Linked DNA regions of Lepisosteus oculatus. The protein of the gene in region 2 purifies or fractionates together with the protein of the main gene of each other region. This does not show direct contact. Links are inferred from orthologs where the notes say so. Each region holds a gene or a part of one and is shown on either strand. Other genes may lie near its edges.

What was found.
Region 1: the proteins of g3bp1 (region 2) and stau1 purify together in Homo sapiens (affinity purification with mass spectrometry; 3 studies listed by BioGRID and IntAct, with this or other methods). This does not show direct contact. The link is inferred for Lepisosteus oculatus from reciprocal best matches to the Homo sapiens genes G3BP1 and STAU1.
Region 3: the proteins of g3bp1 (region 2) and fxr2 purify together in Homo sapiens (affinity purification with mass spectrometry; 3 studies listed by BioGRID and IntAct, with this or other methods). This does not show direct contact. The link is inferred for Lepisosteus oculatus from reciprocal best matches to the Homo sapiens genes G3BP1 and FXR2.

What each region holds. Positions count from the first base shown.
Region 1 is NC_090711.1:9,427,054-9,434,158, forward strand, and holds the start of stau1 (double-stranded RNA-binding protein Staufen homolog 1), read right to left. Parts: upstream 3,026-7,105; 5' UTR 2,828-3,025; intron 52-2,827; 5' UTR 1-51. Other genes in the region: cse1l (exportin-2), read right to left, coding at 6,293-6,382, 7,036-7,105. UniProt on the Homo sapiens protein: Binds double-stranded RNA (regardless of the sequence) and tubulin.
Region 2 is NC_090706.1:36,004,439-36,011,623, reverse strand, and holds the start of g3bp1 (ras GTPase-activating protein-binding protein 1), read left to right. Parts: upstream 1-4,177; 5' UTR 4,178-4,276; exon of another isoform or gene 4,277-4,349; intron 4,350-6,579; 5' UTR 6,580-6,601; coding exon 6,602-6,696; intron 6,697-7,185. UniProt on the Homo sapiens protein: Protein involved in various processes, such as stress granule formation and innate immunity. Plays an essential role in stress granule formation.
Region 3 is NC_090698.1:11,918,121-11,925,866, forward strand, and holds the start of fxr2 (fragile X mental retardation syndrome-related protein 2), read left to right. Parts: upstream 1-4,721; 5' UTR 4,722-5,238; coding exon 5,239-5,289; intron 5,290-7,746. UniProt on the Homo sapiens protein: mRNA-binding protein that acts as a regulator of mRNAs translation and/or stability, and which is required for adult hippocampal neurogenesis. Specifically binds to AU-rich elements (AREs) in the 3'-UTR of target mRNAs.

The DNA of each region.
Region 1 (7,105 bases), on a different chromosome or scaffold from region 2:
ACGCAGCACAGGGGTTCAGCGCAAGTTTGGAGTAATCCAGCAAAGCTCTTCCTGGGAAAAATAATTCAAAAGCTTGTGTACTGTGGGATGCTTACTCAGATAAGATTATATCCAAAAACGATAGCCATATGGTACGGGGGACATCTTGCTCTTTTTTGAGGTTAGGTAATGTTTGGGTTTTAAAAATGAATCCAGTCTAATTCTTTTTAAAGAAATGTAGTTAGCAGAACTAGAAACTAAACTGGTCGACAGCACAGAGTAAACACATCATACATACAAACAGGGTTTAATTACATCTAAAGTCGCCTTTACATATCACACATGCAAGTGACTAATTTGTAAGCTTTTTAGACTATACTGCAAAACAAAACAGCAAAGTCCTTCTTTGTGAGCTGAGATGTAAAACAGAGGTCTTGACTACCTACCCATGGTCATTAAAAATCCCTGGGGAGTTTCTCAAAAAGAGTAGGGGGTTTTACCCTGGTGTCCTGGACAAATTTCCCCTTGGCCTTTACCAGTCATGGCCTAATAACCCCCATCTAAGAACTGGCTTCATCACTCTGTTCTCCTCCCCACTGATAGCTGGTGTGTGGGGAGTGTACTGGCGCACTATGGCTGACATCACATCATCTAGGTGGGGGCTGCACATTAGTGGTGGTGGAGGGGAGTCCCCATTACCTGTGAAACGCTTTCAGTGGAGAGTCCAGAAAAGTGCTATATACATTTGAAGATTATTTATCTTTTTATCTTAAAACTATCTTAAATGTTAACTAATGAGCAGCATCATCTTGCTTTGCAATTCCATTTTATGTCTGAATGTTACAGTATGAATTCTAAAACATTAACATGCTTTTCTGGTAAGTTTTAATAACCTGTCAGGCACAAAGCCAAAAGTATTGAGCATACTTCAATAAGAACTACCTCTTGATTGAGAATCATATGCTTGAAATAAAAAGGTAAGGCAAGTTAGAGGCAAAAACTATTTTAAAGAGATCAAAATCACATCACAGCCCCACTTATTTATATATTTAAGTCACAACTCTAGTCTATCAAAAGTGCGTTTGACTTCTTGAAGCTCTGAGGTGTCTTAACATGAAAGGCACTATATAAAATAAAATTGTTCCTGTTATTAAAAAGATTGTTACTGTGGACTACCAAAACAATTTTTTGGCCAAAGCCTTAATGAATGGCAGGAACATCAAGACAGACCCAGTGCACTGCACAAGCGATTTCTGTGTATTCCTGGATGTGTCACATACATAACTTTAGCAGATCTCAATTAAACCAGGACACACAACCCCTGTGGCTGAAATGGTAGGTCTTTCTCTCTGCAAGTGTCTCCCTTGTATGAACAGTGTTTCCTCTTAAACAGCTAAATTACTGTGTTTATAATGCCAAGAATCATTATAAGCTGATATTTATCTTTGGGATTTCCCACAATCGTGACCACTAATAATTACAGCTCCGATGAACATACAGTGTTGTTTTGAGGTGTTTTCAAAAACAAAAACTGCGAAAACTAAATACCAGCCCTATTCAATCTGTGTTAAGACTAATCCATCCATCACGTCAAATTTTAATGAATGCGGGGATGGTAAACCTAGAGACTTTGCTCAATACCAAAAGACTTAAAATTATCCAGATGTAAAATGTTCATTTTAACTTTAAAATTAGGAGGGAGGCGCGTACAAACGAACTCCAAATAAGATTTCTCCAAGTAGACAGACGACCCCCTGCACTCTCCAAACATATTATTTTCGACGACTACGCATACCAGAAGATGCACGCTAACCTGTTTGCTTTCACGGTGGACAACAGCTTAATTCACGACACGGAAGGCGTCTAAAATTGACCAGACCAATTTAAAACCGTAAGTGTTCTCTCCCAAATCGTAAGGGTCTGGTCTGAGGCCTACTATCCTTCACCTAAGCCTGGACACACCGAAAGTGCTGAACAATGGACATTTAAAAATAAAGACAGACAATCGTCCGATTCTCTTGAAGTGCAATCACGGCATGTTCAAGAAAATCGTGACCTGCTCGTTAGCATTCGTAACCTCTCCCGACACTACTGTAGCTACCAGCAAACATACCGTGCACTGCGAAAACAAGAGTTGTGGTGGCCTTTAATTTGTTATTTTGTTGAAATCACGTCGCCAAAATATTTCGAAAGCTCAAGTACTCCAAAGCAAAGAAAACATGGTTTGAGAGAACTGCAACATTAGCATTTTTTTTTCCAAAGCGGCAAATGCAAATGACGTTACTTCTGGGTGAGATTTAACGACACCTTAATACCCCCGAAATATTATCTGGCTACTTCAGTGCCAGCAAAGTGACACGACAGGGGGACGAGTATAGCATATTCTTATAAAGAAATATACCTGTTTCTAAGAAAAAACTTCATTCATGGTGTATTGTTACAAAACGGAACCTAACAATGCTGTAAAAATGCACATAAACATAAAAACCCACTAATAAAGTATATTTAACCGCATCGACCACGTTTCTGGATACCACATTTAAATGCGCAACTATTTCTCTGTAGTACTCAATGCGATTGTAAAACAAAACAAGAATAACAACACCGTCCAGATCGTTGAATGTTATTGTTTGGTTTACAAAGCTACTGACCTCTACCAGAAACGAGCATATTAATCCCCACCTGGATTTTAAAAATAATGTGTTGATTTGGGAAAGAATGTTTCGTCGAATAAAACTTTACGCTTTCCGTGCGTTTCAATTGAAGGTAAAAGGTAGCACAAGACAGTGGAGCAGAGCACACAATGTGATTGCAAATCAAAAATTTAAAAAAGCTTGCAAGATCTCACCTCTTTTTATGTTTCAGTCCAGCAGTTAAGGATTTCTTTACTCCATGAGCTACGGTATGTGAGATTTATATTTGATCTGTTCCACTTTTATGGATTTTTCTTCTATTTTTTTATTAAAATGTTAGTGTTATGGTGAGAAAAAGGCAAACAGGGCAAACACTAAAGAGAATGGCCCAGCCTCGGTTTCCCATTCCGGAAGTGACCTCAGCCGGCTCGCAGGAAGTGCCCCGGTCTGGAGAGATCGAGAAGGAATAACGAGCTGCAAAAAATGCGAGCCATATCATGAATAACTTGTGTACGTTACTGTAAGACTGCAAAACACAGGCTGTTCATAATTTTAATAAACGATGTTATACATCATTTAACGCCGGTTCTCTTCCTTACTTATTAACATGCTACATTTTTATTGGACGATAGGGGGCGTGAAAACACCCTCTTGACTGGAATACCTCAAGACCGAAAACAACTTGTGACTTCATGAATTGCAGCTTCGATACTGTGAAATATTGATAATGGTATCACAAAGCACCGTAAACTATCGAAGAGACCTGGGTTGGAGGGTTAATTGGAACTAACTGCTGGAGATGTTCAATTAGTATTTTCAAGGGTATGGTGCTATCATTCCCAGCCCCGTCCAGAGCTTTCATCAGCATGGTACTCAGGCATGTATTATTCCAGCATTAGAGTATTATAATATAATGAGGAAACATCTAAAATGCTGGGGCCTTCATCTTTTAGTTTATATATGGTGTCCCTTAGATCATTTGTCATAATGGTCATAGGTTTCATTGCAATGGTAATTGAAGATATATTCCAGATCAAATTGGATGCTACTGCTGCTGTTATTGTGCTTTATAGGTGTTTGATGGTAACATATGGAAGCAGCTGAACTTTCTTTAGCAAAACTGCGACTAGGCTGAAATTCTAGGCTCCCAACATCAACAGCATAGAACAGACGACTTCCATGTTATTGTGAATGGTGCTGAAATCCAAACTCTGATGGAAGACAGAAAACTTGCTTCCGAATCCGTGTTGTCATTAGAAGTGCATGTTAGGAACATCACAAGTCACTTCCTTCTGCCTGCAGAACACCGCTCACTCTAGAACCAGTGCTTGGCCTGTCTGATACTATATAAACATGATGCATACCAATATTAGACCAATAGAATCTTATATGATAGTAAATGGGCTAAAATGTCAGGAATTCTAAGACTTGTGCTAACTAAATGTATTCTGCATCAGCACTTACCTTCGGTCTTGTATAATTTTTAATAGGCTCCCAGTGATATATAGGGTGGACTACTCTAGCAGGTACTACTGGTCATGTGTGAGGCCTGGAAATGTCTAGGTCCAAATGATGTTAGATATATTGGTTAAGTAGAGGGTTGGTACGGTAGTCAGAATTGCTACCTTGCAGCTCTGGGGCTCTGGGTTCATATTCAGACTTTCAGTGCCATCAGCATGGAGTTTTTATCATCTCCTCACTTTCATCTAGGTTTTTGGCCTTGCACTACAGCTTTGCATTGGTTTAATTGACCCTGCTGCGGGAGTCCATCTTGTGTGTGCCCTGTGATGGACTGGTGTCCAGTCCAACTCATAACCTGAGATCTTTCGATCACAGAATCTCACAACGGATGGCAAAGCCTTCTTGTATGCTCCCCATCTACACTGGAACGCGCTGCCAAAATTCATTACATTCAATTACATTGTACAGTGCTTCAGAATTTCTTAAAGTTCATAAAAGTATACACAGATTTTCTGAACTGTATTTGTAGTAAAAGGAATGATCAGCATTGATTTCCTTAAAGAAGCAAGTTAGCAATGGATTGATGTACTGTTGGATACAATCTTGCTCAATCCTTCTTATGGAGCTCGATGATACCACGCTCATTTACAGCCATGGACTGAAAAATTATGGGTAGAAAACTGTGCCAACGGCCCTCAAATAGAATGGGACAAGCATTGTGGGAAGGGTGTGGTTACCAGTTCCACCTCTGTCACTCAGAACTGGACAGGGGCTGTGGATCCAATTTATCCTGGTATTTCCTAGACATAAAGAACCTTAAATCTAACAATGTTAGAGATAACAGCAGTGCATCATTTTGATGCTGTAGTTGCACAAGCCCATTCTCAAAAAGCCACAATCCAACAGGTGTTAAAGGGCACTCTTAAACTCTCATTTCTGAAGGCTAGAAAAATGGAACCAAGCCAATTCACTGGTACACTTCAGAAAACCCCAAATCACTTGAGTGATAGTTACTTGAGATTTTCATAAGTGAATGTTCCAAGTGTTTTAATCCAACATGTTTTTAATCATCCTGTTTTTCATTACACTTTGTTAAATGTTGGTAGGAATAACTTAGTTCAGTCTTTCAAAATATGCAATGTCATACTTCAAAATTTGCATTAATGTTGGCATCCATTTGAGAAGACAAATCCATAAGTCAACAATCTATATCCTTGTAATTTTTAGGTGATCAATCCTTTAACTACACCAACTGTTTAAAGAACTCTGCATGTAGATTACACATTTTTGTATCAAGGCAATATAGTCATTTTGAAGAAATCTTAAATGTAACCAAATGATTATAAACTTAGCATTTCATCCACCTTTGATTACCTTCAAGGTCCTGGACTGTAGTACATGTACTGTAGGTTCACAAGTACACAAAAACTGAATATACACAAGTGCTTTTTATTTATTCACATTTGGAACATGAGAAACTAAAGAGACAAGACATAAATAAAGACATACAAGATACAAATGGTTTAGAAGAATGGTGGAAGCATAAAAAAAATGCTGCTGTCAAAGAGCTCTCAGAAAACTCTGATCTACAGTAAAACTGCAAAAGAAGATTTGAAATGAACACAGTCCTCTCGTGGATTTGCAGGATGGGAACAAGGGTGTTGCACGGCCAGAAGACAACTGCGATCTGTTTGAACTCATAGCTCATACACAGGATTAACATGTTTCTCTATTCCTTTGCAAACTGATAAGATTTCATGTAGTTATACATGAAAAGGTATTCTGACTAGCATTTGAAGAAATCCCCCTTGAAAAAAGTTCCTACAAAGCTTTTCTAGCATGTAACAGAAGGTTAGTGAAAACTCAACTGCCTACCTTCTTTTACACAAAGAAAATGATACTAGTAACAGAAAATGCTTTTACAACAGTCCAAAGAAACTTATATGCGAGAGCTGTCCCAATGAGGTCTGTAAAACTTCACTGTATGAGTTTCTAGATCACAACATTTGCAACTTTTACCTTAAAGACAATTCATGATATTTTTGGAAATACCAAATTAAAATCCTTAAAAGTTTCTGTCAAAGATCAATATCTGGTGAGAGAATAAAGGAGTTTGGTTCACAAAGTTTGCTGATGATTCCTGCGACCTTCTGTAATTCTCATCCTGGCCTTATTGTCCTCAGCAGGTTTTCAATGATTTGATTTCAGGGTCCTAAGTCTTACACGAGCTGGACACTTGCTGCTTGGAGATAGCCTTGCAAGAACTGTAGTGCTTCAGCATTCAGGCTTGTGCTCAGCATAGAGGGAACCTAGAAAAACATTAATAATCACATTCTTCTTTCAAAGAGAACGAAAAAATAAAACGTGTAAGTTTTATACACCTGAACTGGATTATGAAATATACTTGGAAACCCTTCTGGAAAAAAAAGACTTCAATTTGTTTACATTAAATATGCACAGAACTCCCTCATATACTCTATTTACTTTATGTTAAATAAGGCAAGTCTTATTTTAATAAGTATTAAATAGCCCTTTTGACAAAGAGGTTTTAATGAGCACTACACATTTAACAGTGGACTGCCATGAAACCCTGACAAAAAATAACCTAGCTTTAAAGCAATCAAACTATTTAAAGTTGTTAGCTTCTTGAATTCTTAGTCACAACCTACGTTTGAAATAAACAGCTTCAATACAATAAGAAAAAACTTCAAAGAAGTTATAAAAAAACTTATTAAATGGGGGAAAAAAAAAGTGTGGAACAAACTTGCCTTTGCAAAGAGAGCTTCGTGCCATAAAGGAACACCCAGTGTGAAATGCTCAGTTGACTTTAAGGACGGGAAATTGATTAGTACACTGGGTTCATTGTGTCTGCCGGGAGCGCAAACATCCTGTCCCACATAGCTCTACATCAACTCCAACACAGACTTCTGCTACGTGTGGAAGCCAAGCTGTGGTCACTTACCCTTCCTGGGCACGCTGTGGACAGCTTGTGGAGAGACTGTGCAAGGTGGATTTTGGGATTGCTGACGGCA
Region 2 (7,185 bases):
CCCGAAAAAAAAAAACCGATTACAGAGAATTCCAACGGCATTCCAGCTGTCTGCGCTGGCTGAAATGATGGGAAACGTTTTGTGTGTTCTGTTGGCGAAACCGAGCTATTCCAGCTTTTTTCACATCTTGGGATATTGTTCTCAATGCAAAGACAACTAGCTTTTCCACAGAGAATAATGAATCTGGCCAAGACTTGCTGTGAACTGCCCTGCAAATTTAATAGTTCTCGGGAATAGAATTAAGCAATTGTTTTCCTTCGACTCTTTCAGCATTTCAAGAAGAATGCCAATATATATCACACAAATATACAAGTATTAAACTAAGATCATACCTTTTCCACTAGCGGGGGGATAGGAAGCCCTTAATATTTTGATCTTTTCCACTTGGCAACAAACACATCCACAGGAATGTCTGCCATGGACCGCTTCAAAATTTAATTTACATCACATTACCGTGGCACTAATTAACTTCAAGGGGAGAGAATGTTGCCAAGTGGAAGTGAAGAAGCAGAGTTATATGTATAATTTTTCACAGTCGTATGGCCGGTCTTATACAGAACCAGCTACTTTTGAATGAATTTATTTATCATTCTAAATCAGGGATCTGCAGTCCTGGTCCTGAACAGCCTTAGTCAAGCAAATTATACCGTCCTGTTCGCATGTTACTGTCTCCCGTGTAAGCAACTGATTAATCCAATTAAGCCTTTCGCAGCTCAGATAGGAAAGAAAACACTGATTTTCTGTCAATCAGGATATGAGACCCCTATTTCAAACAAATGTTGTTAATGACATTTAAAATACTGTACTAATACAGACATACGGAGGGAGTCATCGCCAGCAGCCATATCACCCTGCAACTCACAACTGGCAACCCACTGAAGCTAAGCAGGTGTGAGCCTGGTCAGTACCTGGATAGGAGACCTCCTGGGAAAAACTAAGGTTGCTGCTGGAAGAGGTGTTAGTGGGGCCAGCAGGGGGTGCTCACCCTGCGGCCAATGTGGGTCCTAATGCCCCACTATAGTGATGGGGACACTGTACTCTTAACAGGCGCTGTTCTTCGGATGAGTTGTAAAACTGAGGTCCTGACTCTCTGTGGTCATTAAAAATCCCAGGGTGCTTCTTGAAAAGAGTAGGGGTGTAACCCCGGCGTCCTGGCCAAATTTCCCATTGGCCCTTCCCAATCCTGGCCTAATAATCCCCCTCTATGAATTGGCTTCATCACTCTGCTCTCCTCCCCACTGATGGCTGATGTGTGGTGAGCGTTCTGGCGCACTATGGCTGCCGTCGCATCATCCAGGTGGATACTGCACATTGGTGGTGGTGGAGGGGAGTCTTTGAGTGGAGTGTCCAGAAAAGCGCTATATAAGTGTAAGCAATTGTTATTATTTAAATTAAAACTAGACCGGATTCTGAATACTTTGAAGTGACAATAGGTTTCAAAACTTTCGGATCAAAAAATGGTGTACCCTGCCCTCTGCTGGACAGTCTATGATACAATTACTGTAGTTACACTGATGCTCCTTGGATCTGCCCTGCACTTACATATTACTCTTTTGCTGTTTATTTCTTGCTGTTGATACAAGAGTCATCCTCAAATAAAACAGAATATCCATTTTCTGCCTGCTTCATCCAATTCAGGGTCAGCAGGGAAGCCAGAACATCATATAACCATGTATCATCTAATAATGTCCATGTCAGAAATGCCTCCTATAACATTAGAAGGATTAAATGCCCCCCTTTCAAAACTCAGTATTAGAGGTATAACAGCTCTTGCATTCATAATGCATTCCTTGTCAAGGAAATATCCACAACACGCACAGGCTGAGGAAAAACTAAGCATCAGCATCAAAGAGGTGGGAGTGTTACTAGAAGTTAAGATGAAGAGATTTTAATGTCTTGTTGGAATTCCACCAATTGTACGATATTATTAAATGAGAGATATTATTTATAGACTTAACAAGCCTTTGAAGGGCTGCTCAAGACATATCAACTGGATGGAAAATTGCTAATATAGCACATTTCGCCAAAAAGGGAGAAAAAAACGGACTCAAGTAGTTGTAGGCCAATAGTGTCAGTTACTGTATGTAGACAGTATGTAACTCAAAAATGCCACTTTGACGACACTTTGTAGTCAACTACGCCGCCTTGCAATTTTAAGGGTGCTAGGGGCCTTTTTCCAGATTCTTTATATCTCTCAGAACTATCAGTGTACCCATAATCCAGGTAGGTGTAATTATCAGACATAATTGCTCCTTTTATTTCTAACGTTCTAGCAGTTACAATACCTATCACTGCCCACCCGACACACAGAACACATGACACAGAGTCTCCACAAAGTACCCTAATACTCACAGAGACACATGAACTCCACAGACCCCAGTTACCCAAACCCAATATCCCGAAAGAGAAGTCCAGAAACAGCTCTTTCCAGTACACTGGCATGCGGCATTCAGCCACAGAGGAGAAACTCTGTAGTCTTTCAGTGGTTTTAGGCTTCCTCTTCAGTCCAGTTGACCAGACCAATGTGGTGAAGATGATGGCTGAGTCTTCCTCTACTGCTCAACTCTGCAGTGTTTGAATCCTCCAAATTCTTCTCTATTTTCCCCATGAGTCTTCCTGAATGAAGCTTGCATTGTGATGATGTTATGATGTTACCTCAGTGTCCTGGCCTGGCCAAATTTCCCATTGGCCTTTACCAGTCTTGGTCTCCTAATAATCCCCATCTCTGAATTGGCTTCATCACTCTGTGATAATAATAATAATAATAATAATAATAATAATAATAATAATAATTATTATTATTATTATTATTATTATTATTATTATTATTTTTATTATTATTAACACAGGATCCATTATGATGGAAGGAAGTGTTCTTGTGGGGTGGTGTGTTGGCTGTGTGTCTAAGGATCTGTACCTGTGGCTGGAAGGTTGCCGGTTTGTATCTTGTGGCCGGCAGAGGAATTCCTACTTTATTGGACCCCTGAGCAAGGCCCTTAACCCCAACTACTCCAGGGGCGCCGCAGAAATGGCTGACCCCGCGCTCTGACCCCAAGCTTCTCTTTCTATGTGTCTGTGTGTCTCATGGAGAGCAAATTGGGGTATGCGAAAAGACAAATTCCTTTTCCTTTTCTTGACAAAGTCAACATGGACTTAGAAAGGGTACAGTGGGTTACGTTTTTTGAGATCTTTGAGGAAGAAACAGCAGTACTGCATATGATTAGAGAATACGATATGGTGTATTTTGGGGACCAGAAAACAGAACTGTATATTTGGAAAAGAAAACTCAACACTCAAGTTGAATGTGTTTGATCAAATGTTTTAAACATAGATGTGAGACAAAATCACAGGAAATGAAGTCAATCAAGTAAAACTATTATCATTCTTTCAGTATTACGCATGCCATACTGTACTGTCAAAACGAAAAGATTCCAAAACTGGATAAGGGTGTGTACAGACACAATTGTAGTAGTAGAACAAAGACTGTTGCAATTGCACTGAGTAAATGAAAATCACTGTCATTGTTTTTAACTTTTATTGATTGTTGAATTGTAAAAGACCTTCAATTGTATCAATTGGAAAGTATGCAAATGTAATTAAAGGTGAATGCAATTGATGATTAATCGGATTACATTTGAATTTCGATACGTAGACTAAACTGCAACGACCACAAACCCAGGCACACGCATTCATCCATTTTCTCATTTGGTTTGCCCATCACATCTAGCGTGTTCAAGTTAGTGGTCACCTAAACAAAAAAACTCCCGCCTCTATCGGCACAGGGCTTCCCGGGGCTTTTCACAGGGGCCTCTTGTAATACAGCACTCCCTCTTTAGGCGAAAGCCCCAATCCTTGAACGGTTGGCCAGGAAAGGGACAAACCATTGCCCACAACACCCGCTTATCAAGCGAACAAGCCTGCCCCTCTCGCCTGCTTGCTTCCTTACAACGCCAATCTACTGCAGACGTCCTGTACGTATGCGTTTCCGCCGACTCTGATAGGCTGGCGCAGCTGCGGGCGAAGGCAAAGCCCCTTCCGCCTTCCGCGGGTCTTGGCCAATGGAGAAAGGCCATCGAACGCGAATTCCGACCGCAATTGGCTAGAAGTGTTCGTCTGTCGGATGTCTTCTCTTCGATTGGCTGCGCGAATCGCAAGGCTAAACTCTGATTGGCCTGTAACATACTGGGACGGGAGTCAGGTTAGGGTGTCACCCGAAGGCATTTGAAGAAGCCGGTTGAGCACGCCGTGAGGCCGCCAGAATATTTCTAGCTACAGGGTGAGAGTCGTGGTGAATATATACATTTTCAAGTAAACTACGGCTTAGCCTTTGTTATAAGATACCTGTTCAGGTATGTTGGATACATTTTATTCAAATGTAGATTTTTTTTTGTTTTAGTGGTGTCGTTTGGTCACCTTTTAAAATCTTGCTGTGGTGTAGGGCTGGTTAGTGCCGGGGAAGACCTTATTTCGATGGAAAAAAGCAGAGGTTGATAGGATATTGGCGGTGCCAGGTTCCATGCTGTTAATATTAGGTGTTTTATGTCGAGTATTAATGAGTCATGAGAAAGGCCGGTCGAGTAATGGCTACGTATCGTGGTGTATTTATAGCCACATGTGTGCTGCATTACCTTGTTAGCTTATATATAAAAACTTGTTGGTTTATTAATGTAATGGCATCAATGACACGATACGTCTTGTAAACGACGTTGTGAATTACAGTCGCCGGGAATGGTGTAATTCGTGTCTGAAATAAGCGGTGTGAAATGGTGTCGGTGTTTCTGGCTGTGAATGATCTCAGGAGCTCTGACGCAATCTGGGCCCTGTAGCATTAGACCGCATTAGTCAGTTTAAAAGTGATCGTTTTGTGTTTTCAGCTGTACACAAAGACTGCCTGCATTCTGTTTTTAGCATATCGCCCTTTGAGTGGGCATGTTTCAGTAAATTAAGACGGTCAGGGGGCAGCGAAAGTACCGTTTTTATGTTGCTGGCTGAGGATGGTGTTATTTAATATCGAAATGGCTTAAACATCGCCGAGATCTTATCATGTAGGTTTGGGATGTCGGTGGTTGTTTTAACACAAGTTCGGGGGATTTGGGTGTGGATGTGCAGGTCTCAAATGATCACGGCTTGCCGGAATTGAGAAACCTAGAGTCAACATCATAAAATCGCACACCGGAATACGATCTCAATGCAGTAGTTCGGATTCATTATGAGTTGAGAATATTTTTGGAAGTCGAGGAAATGCTAGAAATGTGCCGATGAGGCGAAACGTTTTTTTTTATAGCCATGTGCCAGGTACTGGCCGGCGTTAGCTTCGTTTCCAGGCGCTTTGTTAGCAGCGAATGGCTTCTGAAGTGCGGAAATGTGAGCGACACAGCCTTCTGCGTACATCTGTTCGCTGTCTTATTTCCGATCAGCCTTTTCTTCGACTGTCGTTCGTCTCTCCCATCCTTTTTTTTTTTCTCTCAACGCATTGCGAAACGGGCGAAGTCGCGCCCTCAGCTCGCCAGCTCCCCCAGGTCATTGCAGCGGAGCTTTTCGGTTGAGCTCGGCTTCGGTTTCCTCGCCGGCGTGAAACGTGCTCCGCCTGAAATGTCTGACAGTCCGCAGGCTGGGCTTTGTCTGGCTCTGTGGAACTGCGCTGGTGTCTTGACTCCAATGCCGAGGCCTGGTTTGATTGAGGTTGGGCATTTACCTTGTGCGAAGCAGCAGCAGCAGCCTAGCTAGCTGTGGCGGTGCTAAGTTAGGTTAATGGTTGCTGAGCTAGTCTATATATGGGTGTAACTCTCAGCATTCCAGTAGATGTTGCTGAACCAGTCCCCTCTTGGGTGAAGCCTCGAGGTGCCTGCTACAGCCTCATCTGAGGCAATGATCAGACAGGGGATTGATGTTGAGGCAGATGGTATGGGCCGACCCCAGCAGGTGGAGTGTGCAGCCAGCCTCATCCAGTCTGTCTCCCTCTCTCAGGCCCCGGTTTTGTTTTAGACCACTGCTGTCCTCTAAGGGCAACCAGAGACGCAACGAGGTTGTAGGATTTCATGGGAGCCCGTTTGTCAGTAAGCAGATGTGAAGTGCGGAGGCAGGCATCTAGTTTTAAAATGGAGTCTGATCTCAAAACACAGCTGAATGTTAGCTGTGGAAATTGGGTGTTCCCTTGCAAATGGGTGCAGTTTTGCATTTGTAGACAATCATTTGTTGTTAACACCTGCTAGAGCTGTGATATAAATAAACGCTTTCGTTTATTGTCATCCAAGTGCTGCCTTTTTGATATGTGATTTTAAGTACTTTTGTTAGTCTTAGTCTTAATGTTTCTTAACATTAAGCCTGCAAGTAGTGAGTAAGCAGTTCAAAGAATGATCTTGAGAGATTGAGGCAGATGTAAGAGGTATATACTGCAAGAAATGTCCTTGATGGGAACAAATGGGTCTTTGACTCTTGGTTTATTCTGTTTCTGAGATTACTATACATTTGTGCAGTGTGAGATGCTCATCTTCCTTAGAAGAATTTGTAATAATCGGTGGTTATACATGTTTTGTTTCCACTCTCCAGAAAGTGTTAAGAGATTTTGTTATGTTGCAGTCTTAACCAGCTGACCAAAGAAATGGTGATGGAGAAGCCAAGTGCCCTGCTGGTCGGGCGTGAGTTTGTCCGACAGTACTACACCCTTCTGAACCAGGCGCCTGATTTCCTGCATAGGTATGTTTTTGCGACCTAACTTTAAGATACCTCATCACTTTCAAACTGAATGGGAAAACACAGTTGCAATGGATTGTTAAACGTTAGAACTGTCAAGCCTTAATGCTAATATAGCTTAAAATTAACATTTAAAGCCCACTTAAGTTTGAAAGTGTTTTCTGAACCTCCTGTTAGGATTTAAAAAAAATTGTGAGATATTCTATCCGCTTAAGTGCTTTATATTATTGGGTGGGATTAATTGAATCAGTGCTGACTGCTCATTGACTGGAGCAGCCCTCAGCACATCGGTGATGGATCTGTCATTGCTAGTCAGGACAAGATTGCAGCATTTGTACAGCTGCACACTTGTGATCAGTGGCCACAGGGATGCTCACTTCAGCTGTTTTCAGCGGTTGAGACAGGCGCATGAGGAAAGCACATTTTGTATCCTTTCTCACTGAACATGAAGTGCTGTCCTATTTGTAAGCCGCTTATGTAAAAGTTGAAAAT
Region 3 (7,746 bases), on a different chromosome or scaffold from region 2:
TTAATAATGCCACTCCTTCCTTTACCAGTGTCATTATGATTTAACCCTCTTTAGTTTTACTACACACAGTAATATCACAGTAAACTCTTATAAGGGCATGAACAGAGGCCAGACAGCTGTGCTTCATCCATCTAAATTTAGGCACACTACAGATTGTGGAAGAAACTGCTGACTCATGTGATGAGTCACTGAGGATCATTCAGAAGAGGGGATCCTGGGTTATGAGGTTGCTAGAAGCTGGGTGAGCCACACAAAGCTGAACTATTCTTAAAGCCATCAGTGCTGGAGAGCCCTCAGCTCAGACGACCTCAGCCTGGGAGCCCCCTGTCAGGTGAATGGATAAGAATCAGAGAGACTCTGCAAGAAAGAGGAGCTGATTAAGAGCCATGCACCACTGCATCAGGGTATTAATTAGGCAGCTAATTCATTACTGTATCAAATTAAAACCAAATGAGCTATTTAATTGTCTTACTATGCATATTGTTCAGAAATTGAATGCAATTTTAAAGTACATTCATGATGTGTTGCTTTTTTAAAAAATTGTTACAAGTTGTTTTGGATAAACCAATTTTATTATAATAATTACACATGCAGGCTTCTTATTATATTCTTTATGCATTGCGTTTTTCATAACGTTATTGTGTTAAGCTGTTTTGAATAAAGATATCAACCAAATTACTGCTGCAACTTTTTAGTTATAGGAACAATATAAGAAAAGTTATAAGTAAAAGGAGGCCATGTGGCCCATCTTCCCTGTTGGGTTGTTGGTAGTATATTGTTCCAAACATCTCATCCAGTCATTTCTTGACTGCTTCAACAACATGGCTGGGCAGCTTGTTCCTCAATCCCATAACTCTTTGTGTAAAGAAATACCTCCTCCTCTTGGTTTTAAATACACTACCAAACTAAAATGTTCAAACTGAAAAGTTTTTAGAGTCATGTGTTTGATATTTGTATTAACCAAGATTAATTTACTGTAAAATGCAAAATCCATCTACAAAAAGTACAACTAAATAGGTATGATTGTGTGGATCTACAGTACAATGATTTAAAAATCTATGTGAAACGCATTAGGAAGGACTAAAATATTTCTGTGAAAATCCTGAAATCTTTAATATTTGTGAGCAAAGGCTGGACAGCAGAGGTCCCTACAGGTCATTTTATAACGTTAAAGAATTTTAGTGGATGCTTTGCATACTGTTTAAGGGAGTGAATGCACATGGACCTAGACTTGGTTTTAAAATGGTTTTAGAGTTGGTTTTAAAATAATGCTCCCCTGCGAAACTGAATTTTTGCTTGGAGAAATGTTTAAGCTGTGCTTCCCCAGAAGAGTGACACATATGGAGCGTGAAAAAACGCTGAAGCTGCTGTCCAAACACACCATTTGTAACAGAAGACGTACATGATAAAGATGGCCCACCAATTGTGCAGTCAGGGCAGGTGGTAAAAATAGCTCTCCCTTGTGACAGCTGAACATGTCACTTTGGGGTCCTCGGTGCCACACAGCTGTCCTGTCACCTGCCTGACGTCAATCACTGGGCGAGACGCATTCTGTGTTACAGGACAAGTGAGAGGGACCTTCCCACGGGAGAAAATGAGCTTGAGGGGACTGCGTTTTCACTTTCCTGCACATTTTAACCTGGTGCCCTTTATCTTCCTGGAAAATTAGCAAATCCACTCTAAAACTGTCTAATGGATTTAAGTGTCAAATATACACAATACATTTTGTATATATATATATGCAGCTTCATATCAAATAATCGGCAGACTGTATCAGACTCCAGTTAGCCCACTGAAATGTCTCAACTTTTGGTTGGTATTACTTGCTAGCACTGATTGTGGGTGTTCCATAAATTAAGACGAGGCTCCTGTGAGAGATATTTATATTTTAATAATCAATTAATACTTTTTTAAATTAATGATAAACCTTGTTTCCAACACGGGGTGGCAATAGTTGTGGTAGTAAAGGTATACATTATATAAAACCCTAACTTTTTAGGAAATATTCAGCGTCAGTTTTCACTAGGAAATTTAAATATTATGAATGTACCACAGATGGGGATTTTAAATAATAAATGTTTTTAAATACATAGATCTGAATGTATAATCTCTTTGAAATAATAATAATAATAATAATAATAATAATAATAATAATAATAATAATAATAATAATATATAAAAATCTGATTTTGCAGTGTTTGGACACATTTATATCCCACCAAGATGTGCTAACAAAGAAACCTGGACACTAGTCAGGCTCACTGTCTCTCTTCAGTTAAAGGCTATTAAAACAGCAACTACAAAAAGCAAAATGAACATCAAAAATGCTGCTAATAATACTAAAATACTGCTCTGTTTGGACAGTAGGACTTTGGAGAGACAGGTAATTATTAAGTTGGACTCAGCAGTGCTTTCCAGCAGCACAAAATACACCCGACACTAGGGGCAGGTGTGTTACAAGTCAACCATAGCCTTGTCTGTGACCACACATCAATAAAGAGCAATCAAGACTGGCACACCTCGATTCAAAGACTAAATTATCAGTATCCATTTCCTCAGACATTGCCCATATCCTGGCTGACACACATATAAAGGGATTTCATCTTGAAGTAGATGTGGGCTATGTGTGACACGAAGACTTGACAAGTGCTGACTGACGCTTTGTTTTCGGAAAGCATACCTGTTTATTCCAGACACAGTGCACAAAGAGACAATCCTTCAAGTCAGCTAAGAGGTGCAGACAGAGGCTGGCCACATGGTCATTCTTTGGGATTGGAAGGGGGTGCCGAGTTCTCCAAAACCTGCAGAGATCCGGTCACAAATTGACTGTCCGGTCCTGTTTTGGGTGATTTTATGAGCATTCAGTAAGTGGATCTACTGGGATATCTGTGGAGAAGCCAGATTATTAGAATCCACACATGTGCAGGGTTTATATCCAATAGTTGGCAGGAACTGTAATGGCAGTGCTCTCTTTCTTTGTGTAGCACAGGTGTCATGTGCTAGGGCACTCCCTCCTGTAACCAACAGCCATCTCTGGACATCTGACCATAGCAGTCAGGCTGAAGGAACTCAACCTCTTAAGTCTTGAACCCAGATCGATCTGAGTATTAGATGGATCCAAGAAACAGTGAAACTCAAACCAGAGGGAACTATTGGAAGTGCTGTTAAAACCAAGAACAAAAGGCACTTCTTTACACAAAGAGTGGTGGGAGTATGGTACAAGCTGCTCCAGACATGTTGTTGAGGCTGATACCCTTTTTTTCCCCCAAAACAGGTGGTTGAGATCCTCCAATCAGGCCTGGAAGCACATCTTCACACAAAGGGTGGTGGGAGTGTGGAACAAGCCTTCTATCCATGTTGTTGAAGCCAATACCCTGGTTTCTTTCAAGAAGAGGATGAAATCCTGGGATCATATAACTACAAACTACCAAATGTGCCAACTGGGCTCCTCTCTGGTCTTGTAACCGTTTCTATGTTCACTAGTCCACACAGACAGATGGAGAACTATGATACAGTTCAAGTAGGTACTGTAGCTGTGTCAGTATGTGTCAGCTGCAAAGGAACAAATAAAGGTTTATTTCATGTTGAATAGAGAAGAAAAGAAACACAACAAACACAAAGGTTGAAACGTTTTGTTTCTTTTCTTCTCTTTTCAGCATGGAATGAACCTTTATTTGTTCCTTTGCAAACTATGATACAGGATGTGCAGATTTTTTACTCTCGATTTATAAAGTCTTCCGCTGTGGTCTACAAAACCCCAGAAATTTACACTCCTGTTGTGTTGTAATTCTGAATGGGAAGATGGCATTTTTGTTACACCTCACACAATGAGATTCTGCTGTGCTCTGTGACAGCCCGCAGTGAGACCTTAGAAATATTTCTTAGCTTTTTCATAGGGCTCTGTTTGTTCGAGGGGAAAATAAATAAAACGGTCAATCAGAGGCAATGTCCAGAAATAAGAGTGAGCATACTTCATTCTTACCAAAGTCGCGACCTTTTTTTATTGTTCACATAAAAAAACAAAGCAATTCGTTTCTAGGACACTTCCAATATGTAATTGAAAACTGCTGTTTTAAAACGCTTCAAGTGCCTTTTATAAAAAAAAGACGGGAAACAATATGCGTTATATGAACGCCATAAATAGCTGTATATTTAACCTGATAATAAATATGATACATTTTCAGAACTTAACAATATTAAATAATTACGTTATTTACACATATATTTTTACATTAAAAGTGTTAAGCTTATTGTTTTATTTATTTATTTTAACTCGAAAGGGTAAATGTTTTCGAACCCTAAAAGTTTCTTTAGCACACAACGGATACACACTTACAAAAGATGTATATCCTGTGCAATAAATATAGATCATTATAATTACTCTTAAGTATTGTATTACCGGAACCATGCTTCATGAATTGCGCTTATTGACTGAGAATTACGGTAATGAAACACTCGACCATCTCTAGCGTCAAAGAATCAAAGGATGTACATGGAGTAACCCAATCACATCGAGAATACGCGCTGATTGACAACCAACATATCCAATAAAGAGAGTTGCAGAGTCGATTACCGAGGAGGGCAAGAGGGAGGGATGTGTAAGGAAGTTAGTGTGAAAAGGGAATTCTGTTGAAAGGCGTGGATCTGAGCCAATAGGAGAGGAGGGTGAGTGGATGGGCGGGCCGTGTGTGACGGAGAGGAGGGATTTGGGGGTCATTCAGGGCCTCACGGGCTCACTCTGTCGGCGTGCGGTTTGGGGGACGGGCTGTGGCGCTCACCTGCGGTAGCGCAGCCAGCTTCTGGGGAGGAGGCAAAACTACACTAAATACATTACAATCACCCCACTGTTGCCACCCATGAAAAGCTGAAGAGCACAAACGGACAGCGTTGCTTGCGTCGCCTTGAGCCAGCAGTGTCGGACCCCGAGCTCATCAGGAGCGCAGGCGGATTGCATGAGTTTCTCGTCCCCGGAGTGTGACTGCATCCGACCAGCACTTCGACAGCGTATTTAGCAGCGCCCAGATCCGGCGTCACCCAGAACACTCTCTCCCCCCCCACCCCCCCTCCCCTCACTTATCCCGTCCCTCTCTCCGTCTAAACCCCGGGACACTGGAAATCCACAAGCGGCCGGGAAGCGGCGGCGGCGGCGGTGGCAGGCCGGGGCAGCGAGGGGGTCTTCCGGAGTCACAGGGAGCCGGCGAGCGGGAGGAGCACCGGGGGTTCCGTGAGGCGGCGAGGATGGACGGCCTGGCTGTGGAGGTCCGTGGCTCCAACGGGGCCTTTTACAAGGTAACGATCGGAAACGCCAGGGGACGATCTGAAAAAGGGAGCCCAAGGCTTCTGTTTGTGTCGGATTGGGCGGTGATTTGCGTCCAGGCCCGCACGGCTCTTTGTATCTTTCTGGGGTCTTGGGTGTCTGGGGAAGGCTGGGGGGGGGGTGACCGCTCTTTCTGCGGGCGAGGTCCCGTCCTGGCCTCCTTTTCCCGTGCAACATGAAATCGGTAGCTCAAATCATTTCCAGCTTCATTGCGTTGGTTTTAGGTGACAGATCCTCATCATGGGAACGCGCTAGACCTGCAGTAGTTCCTAACCCGTGTTCCTACCGGCGATCTCGGCTTCACACCTGCGTGCCACGAAAAACACAATCCACATGGCTTCACTTTGCTGTCCGCTCGTAGCGGTGCGTTTCTTTTATATTTCGCCATGATATAAACAAAGCTTCGCCAAGGTGCGGTGGTTTCGCTTTGTTCTGCATTTACACCCGCAGATCAGCGCATCTTCATGTCGGAGAAGTCGGTCGCTCCAGGTTAGGTGTTCAAGAACTGGTCCTCTGGGGGAACGCCACTGGTTTTCTCCCTTAACTGCAGCTGTAGTCCTGGCGTCGGTCTCGTTTTCTCCTGTTTATACCTGGAAATACTGCTTTCAGCTCGTGTTTGGTCACCCCACCAGTTATCCCACTGCAAGGACTAAACCACAGACACTGGAAGCCTATTGCGAGACGCCAGTAGGGACAGAAGTTGCAACCTTTCACACTTCGTGTTGAAAGCCCATGCTTAATACTGCAATCTCAGCCACATGTAACACAGCGTCCTGAAACCACGTACTGGCACACCGCTGTAGGTATCGATAACTTATCGATAAAGATTCATACTGAAGTAACAGGCGGTGTCACATTGTGGAACATTCCCGTTTCTTAAGTGGAACTCTTTCAAGCAGATTGATATAGAAATTTTCTACCACCCCATGGTTTTGGGAGCTGAGAAGCACACGAGATAATTTCAGTATACAGTATTTTTGCTGTGAGGTGCCAGTATTCCACCATGTAGTGTAAATTCCTGAGTGGAGTGGCTTTAGAATTTGGTTTTTAAATTAAGATTTTGTCTCTGGTTTTGCCTCGCAGCTCCCAGACCATACTCTGACCTTGTGCCTTTGTTAACCTAGGCTCTTGTTCGTTATTTTGGACCGTTTAGACCGCCGATGTGGAGCAGTTTGATCCGTGACGGGTTTTGCCACCGGACAGTTCTTGCACATACCTGCGCTGGTCACAGAACTGCTTACACCAAAGTTTCCTCCAAATATGGGTGGCAGGCATGAAACATGGCCTGGTGTTGGATGACAGGAACTCAGAGTAAATCCTGGGAGTGGATTGCATCGTTCCAGGAGTGGGACTCTCCATGTCTTCCCTACTGCCTACCTCGTGTCATCTTAGCAGGTTGAGCTAATAAGCAGTGATGCTTAATTTCCTAAGGAAAAAAGCCTTTGAATGAGAAGGCTGACCTTTTCTAGCACTTTCTACACAATCAGCTCTGGATGTTTCTTGCCAATTTAAAATCCCACAATAGGAAATAAGGCCTGCGTTTCACCTCAAGTTCCGACTTTATACCAATTGTACCGATTCATCGGAAGCCAGTGCTCATCTTTCAGGCTGGTGTGAGCCCATGTGATGAAACCATTAAGAATGGTATCTGCTGGATCTTTCCGGCTCGGAATTTGGCAGTCCTGCAGTGGGGTGGAGAGCTTTATCCCCATTACCCTGTTGCCCTTAAACAGAATCTAGTGCCGAGTGAGTCCTGAGTTTTCAGGCCTGGAATAAAAAGGCAAGCGTCAGTTTGCAAGAGTACTTCTGTGATATCCTACAGAGAGCTTCAGAAGACTAACTTTCTCACTAAACAGTGTTTGATCAAGTGCTGCCATAATTCTGCATTAAAAAGTCTAGAAATGTACTTTTGTGGCAATGTTACTCTTGCTACTATTGTTGGTGTTAGAAATGGCAGTGAATTTCCCTGTTGGGGAAAAAAAATGGCTTTTATGCTCAAACTGTTCTGATCGTGTCATCGCAGAAATGAGTTTGCTGAAACTGCTTTGGGGAATTTTCCAAATCTGCTCCGTTTTGCGCTCCGGTTTCCCTTTTGCTTTCCTCCTCCTGCTCCGTCACTCTGTTCAAGTGATGGATTTTGCCTCTTGCAGTCTGCTCCCCTTGGTTTGGAAATCGGGCCTTGTGCCTGCAGGAAAGATGAAGCGATGGGTGGGGTGGATCTCAGTGCCTGTCTGCCCTGCAGTCACCGGTCTGTGCAGTTCTGGAGCGTTAATGCCCAGCCAGACCAGTCACTGTGGGTATTGATGTGGAATTAGGTGAAAAATCAATGTCGGGTCATTTTAAAGCGATCGCGGTGTCTCTTAGTGCTTCCCCTGTTACATTCTTGTTCTGGGCAGCTAACTCGTTCATTATAGATGCTCAGCGATGGT